Linked DNA regions of Oreochromis niloticus. Each later gene encodes a partner of the first gene's protein in a complex. Links are inferred from orthologs where the notes say so. Each region holds a gene or a part of one and is shown on either strand. Other genes may lie near its edges.

Region 1 (3,925 bases):
GTTGTATGTTTGTTGTAAGTCTTTTTGGGTCTGTGTAACAACTGTGTTTAGTGATTCTGGGCCAGGTTAAGCACCACAGACATCCTTCAAACAACTTTTGCTTTTCAGAAGGGGACAGTTGTTATTTTTCTGTGTACCAGCTACTATATGAAGACTAAATCATTTAGTTTTTAACTTTTGCAAGAAACCTCTACAAATCCTACGTAAAGCCCCCCCCCCTTTTTTTGTTGCAGTAGATTCAAATTTTAAAAAATGATGAATAGAAAGACTGCATTAAGATTATCACGTGACATTTAATAAAACAAATATATTCAAATTTTCAATAGATAACATTTCTTATAAAACATTATATATAACACATTTACAATGCATGCAGCACCATGTCTTTATAATACTGGTGTTGACAGAATGTAATAGCTCATTTAAGTGCCACATCCAGGGAAATATGTACAATACAGTAATTTACTGCAATAACCGTGGCATGAAGTTCCATAAAAAGAGAAACAAAACAGCTCTGCCATTACCAACGACATGCATTGATCTTCCTAATACTTCTGAAATGTCACTTCCTAACTTCCGACTCCTCATCTGCTGAAAGGGAATTGAATCAGTCCGTCTTGCACTCTTGTATCCCTCTGGGTGTATCACTTTTCCAGGAATCATGTCTATCCTTCCGGCTGATGTGTTTGTGTCAGCAACTTTGGCAGGAAAGAATGTCTTAGGTGTCTGTGTGCATGTGTGTGCGCGTGTGTGTCAGCATCTCTTGTGTATGCAAGTGTTTGTCAGTGTCTGTGACTGATTTGTGGGTTTTGCTGGGCGTGTGAGTGTGCAGGTTTCTGTTTCTGTGTGCGTCCACTCGTTCATGTCAGCGTCTCTGACAGGTGTGTAGGTTCCGGGCTGCAGTCCTGCTGACAGTGTGATCTCGCTCTCCTTTCTCTGGTCGGCAGGCCAGCCCTTCGCCGCAGTCACAACGCTGGAACAGCTCCAAGCCATGGTTGCCTTTCCTGCGGTGGCGCGTACACACCTGGCCCTCTGTCAGAACAGGCTTACAAATGCGAGACCAGAAGTGTCTGGCACAGCAAAGACCCTTGGAGCAGTCTGCAGATCTCAGGCAGGCATCCCCCTCTTGGCCTGGAGATGAGGGGGGGAAGAGAACAAAGTGAAAATATGTTACATGGAACAGACCTCCCTGAAAACTTCCTACTGCTGTTACTTGAACCCAAGAGATAAGACTGATGATTTTTAACAGCACACTTACCTTTGACAGCATGAGGCTGGTTGCTATGGGCAGTGGGAGGCTTCTTGGCTCGATGCTCCGTGGTACTGTTGTGTGTGTGCCAGCCAGTGGTGAGAGCTACATCTGCACCATCTAAGTCATTTGCCTGGCAAACACCTGAAAAGGTAAAAGACGAAAATAAATAACTGCATTTAGGGTTTGCAATTAACACTACAGAAAAAGCCCTTAGTTAATTAAGATATAAATAATAAGTAGAAAGTTGAATAAAAAAATATAGTTTACAAGATGACAAAAAGAAAACCAAAAGTCATTACTGATTTGAAATGAGCTCACCGTTGCTGCAGCGGTTTCCTGTACAACACATCGAGTCCCTTGCGCAACGCTTTCGGTTCTTACGGCAGGGTAGACAGACGCCTCGAGCATCGTTGCAGAATTCCTCACCTCCACACTCTTCATCATCCGTGCAAACACCTGAGCTCTATATATGATTAAAAACAAAAATATTATGTCAGGAAGTATATTGCTATGATTTCTGTGACAACGTATATAAGCGAATCACTATTGTGGTGCACAGACTTGACTTTTACGCACGGCTGAGTTAATTACCTGCAAGGTGTCTGCGGGTAATTTGTGTCCCATGCCACCAGAAGGTGATGTTCGAGGACTCGGACTGACACTATCGGTATCTTTAACAACCGGAGCGCCGGGCAGGTTTTTGATCGCGTTGGAGTTCGTCAGGACTGTGCCCGCGTAAACGTCCCCAAGGTATCCAAACAGCGTGAGATACACAGCCAAGAAGCGGCGGACTGAAGGCATCTTCATGATTCCTTTCTTAAATTCTCCGGCAAACACACGATAAGAATGTCCCTTTTGTTTTGAGAAGAAGAGTGACAAAGTCCAAAACGGCCTTGAATCCAGAATCCTAAAGTTTCCAGAGAGTTTCAGGACGATGTTTGGAAGTCTCCTGACTCGCAGTCCTGGGATGATCTCTCTTTATACATGTGGACCTGTTTGTCTTCCCGCCCCTCGCTGTGCACTACAAAGGCGGAGGGGTGGAATTTCAAACAGAGACCCACTGTACGGAAATGGCCATCTCTGCTCCCTGCACAGGACAACGTTTCAGTGTTTGTGATGATAATGACCTGCAAAGTCTGTCTGAATACCCATCACACAGTGGCGTACACGGGAAACAACCCCCCAACCACCAGTCAGTACTTACTCTATCCAATCAGTATACAATAAATAAATAAATAAAAACATAAAAAATACAGATGACAAATAATGTTTTCTTTAATATTTTTTCGATGTGTTTTAAAAATATTACTCACAAATTCATCACTCGAGTCCCTCCCCCTTAGATAGATCTCTTATGAACGACAATTTTATATTTTAAACACACAAATCACACATCGGGAATAGTTTTTTTTTTCTCCATGTTATTTATCACTTATTTTAATTTTCGCAATTACTGTGAAGTTATCAAAATAGGCAAGTAGTATATTTTTCAAACTATTATAGGTATAACTTTATAAAATAAAAACAATGACGTTTTTCTAAATGTGGTAGCACATTTGATTTGTTGACTGATTTTGATTTATATCTCTGATAGGACTATTTCTGGTGACAACTTACCTGCGCATCTTTGTAGAAGCCGTTTGCTTATTCCAGTTTCTTTGACATCCTTTGGCTGCCCTTTGGCTGTGTGAAGACAGCGATTGAAGTTACTTAAGTCGATTAACTACTTCATTTGATCCCTCTGATTGCAAAGGGGGCAATTATCCCCCAACGTGTGCTTGATTACACCAGTTGCGGACATCAATGTGTAGGATATGCAGACCATTAAGGGGTGTGAAAACTTTGCCGAATTAATGGACTTCCGTGGAGAGGCCTTTCAGGGTTGACTGGCACTTTGAGATTAAAGGCGACTCTGATCTACCCTGCTCTTTGACCCTTTAGGCTCCACCACTTCAAGAAGGAGAAATGTATTTGAGAATATTGAAATTAAGTCTCAATGTTGTTTTTCCACGTGAATCTGCTGATAACCCCACATCGCACTAGACTTGTCTCCGTGTTTGTCCTTAAGTTGTTATCTCTCGTCCCTTTCCTGAGAGATGTGAGCTCTTCTGATTTATTTATTCACCTTAAACCTTTAGTGACACTGATTTCAAAACTTTTTGCACTGTGTGTGTGAACAGTCAGTTTTCGCTGTGCAAGAAGAGCTCCCTTCAGATGCTGAAGTGCGTGATAAAAAACAAGAACTTAAGTTTCTCCTTGTAGATATCTTAGCACTTGGACGTCATCTGCTGGTCACGGAGCCTTTATCCGAAGTTTGAGTGTGAGAACGTGTCTGCGTGTGTAGAAGAATAAGCGATGCGCCATAGACACCTGACAAACACATTAGCACTTTGCGCATTTGAATTGCTGCATATCTTTTGAAGTAGAGCTTTTATCTCCACTTTACTGAATGTCAGTACTGGTAAGGTGAGCTCCTTTGATGCACTTTGATCCCCTTTGATCTCACAGAAGTGTCACCCTGTTGTTATGGCTGAAGCCATTTCCCTGTGCCCCAAACAGATTTGTTGTGCGAACAACACGGAGGCCAAAAAAGCTGAATCATCCGCACTTACCACTAAGTGGATGACATTAAACTCTTGGAGTGATTATTAGATATCTGGGAACTTTAAGCGG
Region 2 (3,925 bases), on another chromosome or scaffold:
CAAATTTAGCTTCTAAACAACAAAACACATTTTATCATTGGGACTGTTCATGTGAAACCTAAAAGTCTACAAAGAAATAGTAGAAATTTTGTTATGATGAAACAGAAAAAATTGAATTATCCAAGATCCCCCTTTAATTCTGGTTTCTTTGTAGACTTATGGAAGATTCTTCAAAGGATTTCAAAAAGTGGTCACCAGGACTGAATCAGCATTAATTCAAATCCTCATTTTGAGCACAAACAGTTCCAGCGGTTTACCTTTGTGGCATATATTGAGGGACAATTGTAAACATGCTGTGATGGATAGGTTTTTCATGTCACCTAAGCAGGGTATGCAAACAAGGCAACATAGTCCACCATATGCATAATGTAAACTTCTGAGAAACACACTTTGAGGTTCCAAAACATGGTATGGCTACAGTGTTTACACAAGCTGCACAAAAGGATGATGGCAAGGGTTTTGACGTCACATTTAATCTCCGCAACTAAACACTTTATGGCCATGGGAAAACAAAAACAAAGGTCTGTAGAGTCACATAACTACAATGACAAAACTCATGAGCCCCGTTACAGGTTTCAGAGTGCAAAGACAAATGTATGTTTACAGGTTTATGGCTTCAGCATATAAACAAGGCCAACCCGACCCCGGCATGGTCACTGTTAATATGCCATGTTGTGCTGTTGTTTGGTTGGTCTCCCATTACATCGTAGTCACAAAATGAAACGAAACGACTTTCTTACATGCAATCCATGAACAGTCAGCTCACAAAGCATGTCAAATCCTTGCTTGCAAAGTGAAACTGAGTTGTAGTCAGGACTAATAGATTTGGAGGTCCTGCTGCTTGAAGCTCTAAGAAATGATCATAAAGTACATCCAGTAAACTCCGGAATACAGTGGTTTTTCATATTAATCGTTTGTTTTTTTTTTTACTGTGTTTCCTTTCTGGCTTCAATCTATGCGCTAAGTTAGCCAGCTGCTGGCTCCAGCAACATATTTACTGGAAAAAAAATGTGGAATCAATTCTCTTTAATTTAAATCGCAAGGGGGAAAAAATAAAATAAACCCATTTCCCAAAATATCAAACATTTCCTTAAAAGCTCATTTTAAATGAATTTCTCTTCAGATTCTATGTAGAGAGACACGTAGGCTCACCGGCCACTTTGTTAGGTACACGTACTCAACTGCTCTTTAACACCCATATGTAATCAGGCAGTCACACAGTAGCAACTTAGTGCATTTAGGCTTGTAGACATTTACACCCAGCATCAGAATGGGGAAGTAAGGTGATTTCAGTAGTTGTGAACATACATAGTTGTTGATGTCAGACAACAACTGACATCAGTTGTTGTCTGACATCAACATTTTCTGAAAAAACTGTTTATCTGTTTAACTAACAGATCAACAGTTTTTTCAGAAACTGTTGATCTGTTAGAAATTTGCAGCAGAACTGTCTCTAGGATTTACGGAGGTCAAAGTAGGAGAACATATCTAGTAAGTGGTAGCTTTCTACCTTCTTAATGTCAGAGGTAGGGATGCTCACACTGTTTGGAGCTGACAGGATGGCAACAGTAACTCAAATAATTACTCATTACAACCAAAGTATGCAGAAAAGCATCTTGGAATGCACAACCCATCAGAGCACTGAAGTAGATCAGCTGCAGCAACAGAAGACCACACCGAGTGGCACTTCTATCAGCTGAGAACAGGAAACTTAGATTACAAATCACATGGACTTACCAAAACTGGACAACAGAAGATCGGGAAAACATCGTCTGGTTTGATGAGTCTCGATTTTGGCTCCAACATGAAAAAATGGAAGGGTGAAAAATTTGGTGCAGCCATCATGAAATTATTGATCCAATGTTTGTTGTATCAGCGGTGGTGGCGGTGTAACTGTGTGGGGGATATTTTCTTGGCACACTTTGAGCCACTCAGTGCCAACTGAGCATCATTTAAATGCCACAGACTACCTGACTATTGTTGCTGACCATATCCATCCATTTATGTCCACACTCTACTCATCTGCCCAAGACTGCAGGTTACTGAGACATGTTACGAAGCTCAAGTGATCGCTGCTCAAATGGCCTCAGTGGTAACCAGGTCTCAACAGAGCACCTTTAGGATGTGGTTGAATGTGAAATTTGTATGTTGGATGTGTAGCCAACAAATCTGCAGGAACCCTGTGATACTATTATGGGTTCAAAAGCCAAAAGAGGGTTCGACACCTAGAAAGGTGTAACTAACAAAGCCTCTGGCGAGTGTACAATTTGCCACATAAAATGTGGAGTGTTTGGTAAGCTTGATATAGAATACCTTTATCTAGGGCAATATATGAATATATGGTGTATAATGCAAAAAAAAAAAACCCACAGAAAATTAAGACATTGCATTGATAAATATTCTGTTCAAAATAGGCAATAAGTGTTTTGTTATTCTTTTCTGTGAAAAAGTAATAAATAAAATTTAAAAAAAGTAATTATTTCATGAGAATATAGTAAAAAAAAATTTAATAGTGTTCTGATGAGACAAAGAATGTATTTGATAAACTGGGGAACTAGGCAAAGTCTGCCATTTTTTGCCTAAAGGAAACAATTAACTGATTAAAAAAATAATTAAACAATTCTTTCAGCTTTGCAGTTTAAAGTTTTTAATTAATTCTCTTTCAATCCTCAAAGTTATGTGTGAATAAAAAAATGCGAGTACTGAATTCTTAAGGTTTATAGACATAGATTAGAGTAGTGCAGCATGCTGATGACAATGTATTTCTGCATCAAAATTGTTTTCCAGCAGTTCAGAAGCGTGTCTGAATATCAGGACCAAAACAAAAGAGAAAGTCATCTTCCTGTATATAAATATGAATAACAAGAAGCTAACCTGATAATGCTGTGGCTGCTGTGTTTTCTCAATTAGTGACAGCCTGAGAGAGGACAGGGACATGAATACTTATGAGATCTTTGACCTTGTGAGTTTGGACGCACTGAGGAAGAGAGAGCATAGTGAATCACAGCAGTAAGAATTCATAATGAGACAGAGAGAAAAATAAAGGACCTTCAAAGCCCCGGTGATATTTATCGCACATCCATAAGCAGGTATATCCAGACACAAACAGAGCACAACATCCAGAGACATCACAAGCAAGTGCGCCTAGACAGTAAACAATATCTGCCTCCAGGGCCTCTGAATGTGGGCTAAACAGATACAAAACAGAGTGCGACAGTGTCTTGAAAGTGAGCATAAACAATTGTGAATGAATCATTTCATGCACTCAGTAGACTCAATAGAAGTCGGTCAAGCTGGTTGCACCAGGTTAAATGATAGTGAAAAAGCACTTGTGCTTGAAGCATTGAATATTTAGATGTTTTTGATTAATGTCAGTAAATGTAAAAAAAAAAAGAAAGAAAAGATACCAGCCCAGGCTTGCCTGCGTCTCTACTGGCATGGTTTCATTCGAAAGATATCTCCAGTGCATGTGTGGTGTCTCTGTACTACGACTCACACGGTTTCAGACTACGTGCACACCCACTCAGAGACACACACAAAAATCCTTAGGGGGAAAAATGCACATGCACAAAACAGACATTTAATTCTTTCTTTATCATATCTATGTATCGTACAAGTTCCACAGCGCATGATAACGAGAAAAAAGGAGGAAAAAACAAACCAAGCATGGAGGAATATGTGCCTTTTGAAGTTGTCTTTCTTCTTGGAATTGGGTTTGGCGTAACGTGGCTACTTAAGCAGATCATTAAGTGTAATGGTTGGCGAGGATTGCAAAGCTTTATCTCTAATGGCAAGAACAAAGTTCTTGATGATCTGGGGGATTCTGGAGCTGGATTTGATGGGAATTCCCATGCCTGCTGGAACAGTTTACTTTGAAACATTTTGATCTGTGCTAACAGACAGGTGCTATCATAAATCTATAGTC

Evidence for each region.
Region 2: the proteins of dickkopf-related protein 1 (region 1) and kremen1 are in contact, whole or in part, in a crystal structure (PDB 5FWW), measured with the Homo sapiens proteins. The link is inferred for Oreochromis niloticus from reciprocal best matches to the Homo sapiens genes DKK1 and KREMEN1. Residues at the interface, in NP_036374.1 of Homo sapiens: Cys189, Leu190, Arg191, Ser192, Ser193, Cys201, Arg203, Trp206, Ser207, Lys208, Lys222, His223, Arg224, Arg225, Lys226, Gly227, His229, Gly230, Leu231, His261; in XP_011528731.1 of Homo sapiens: Pro67, Asn88, Asp90, Asp92, Ser94, Trp96, Gly105, Val106, Tyr107, Trp108, Tyr110, Asp127, His128, Gly129, Pro132, Thr140, Asn142, Glu164, Ser165, Tyr167, Ala168, Phe170, Asn189, Val191, Phe193, His196, Asp203, Gly204.

What each region holds. Positions count from the first base shown.
Region 1 is NC_031978.2:15,067,493-15,071,417, reverse strand, and holds dickkopf-related protein 1, read right to left. Parts: upstream 2,433-3,925; 5' UTR 2,060-2,432; coding exon 1,844-2,059; intron 1,716-1,843; coding exon 1,571-1,715; intron 1,394-1,570; coding exon 1,259-1,393; intron 1,132-1,258; coding exon 866-1,131; 3' UTR 274-865; downstream 1-273. UniProt on the Homo sapiens protein: Antagonizes canonical Wnt signaling by inhibiting LRP5/6 interaction with Wnt and by forming a ternary complex with the transmembrane protein KREMEN that promotes internalization of LRP5/6.
Region 2 is NC_031977.2:30,683,953-30,687,877, forward strand, and holds the start of kremen1 (kremen protein 1), read right to left. Parts: upstream 2,987-3,925; 5' UTR 2,875-2,986; intron 1-2,874. UniProt on the Homo sapiens protein: Receptor for Dickkopf proteins. Cooperates with DKK1/2 to inhibit Wnt/beta-catenin signaling by promoting the endocytosis of Wnt receptors LRP5 and LRP6.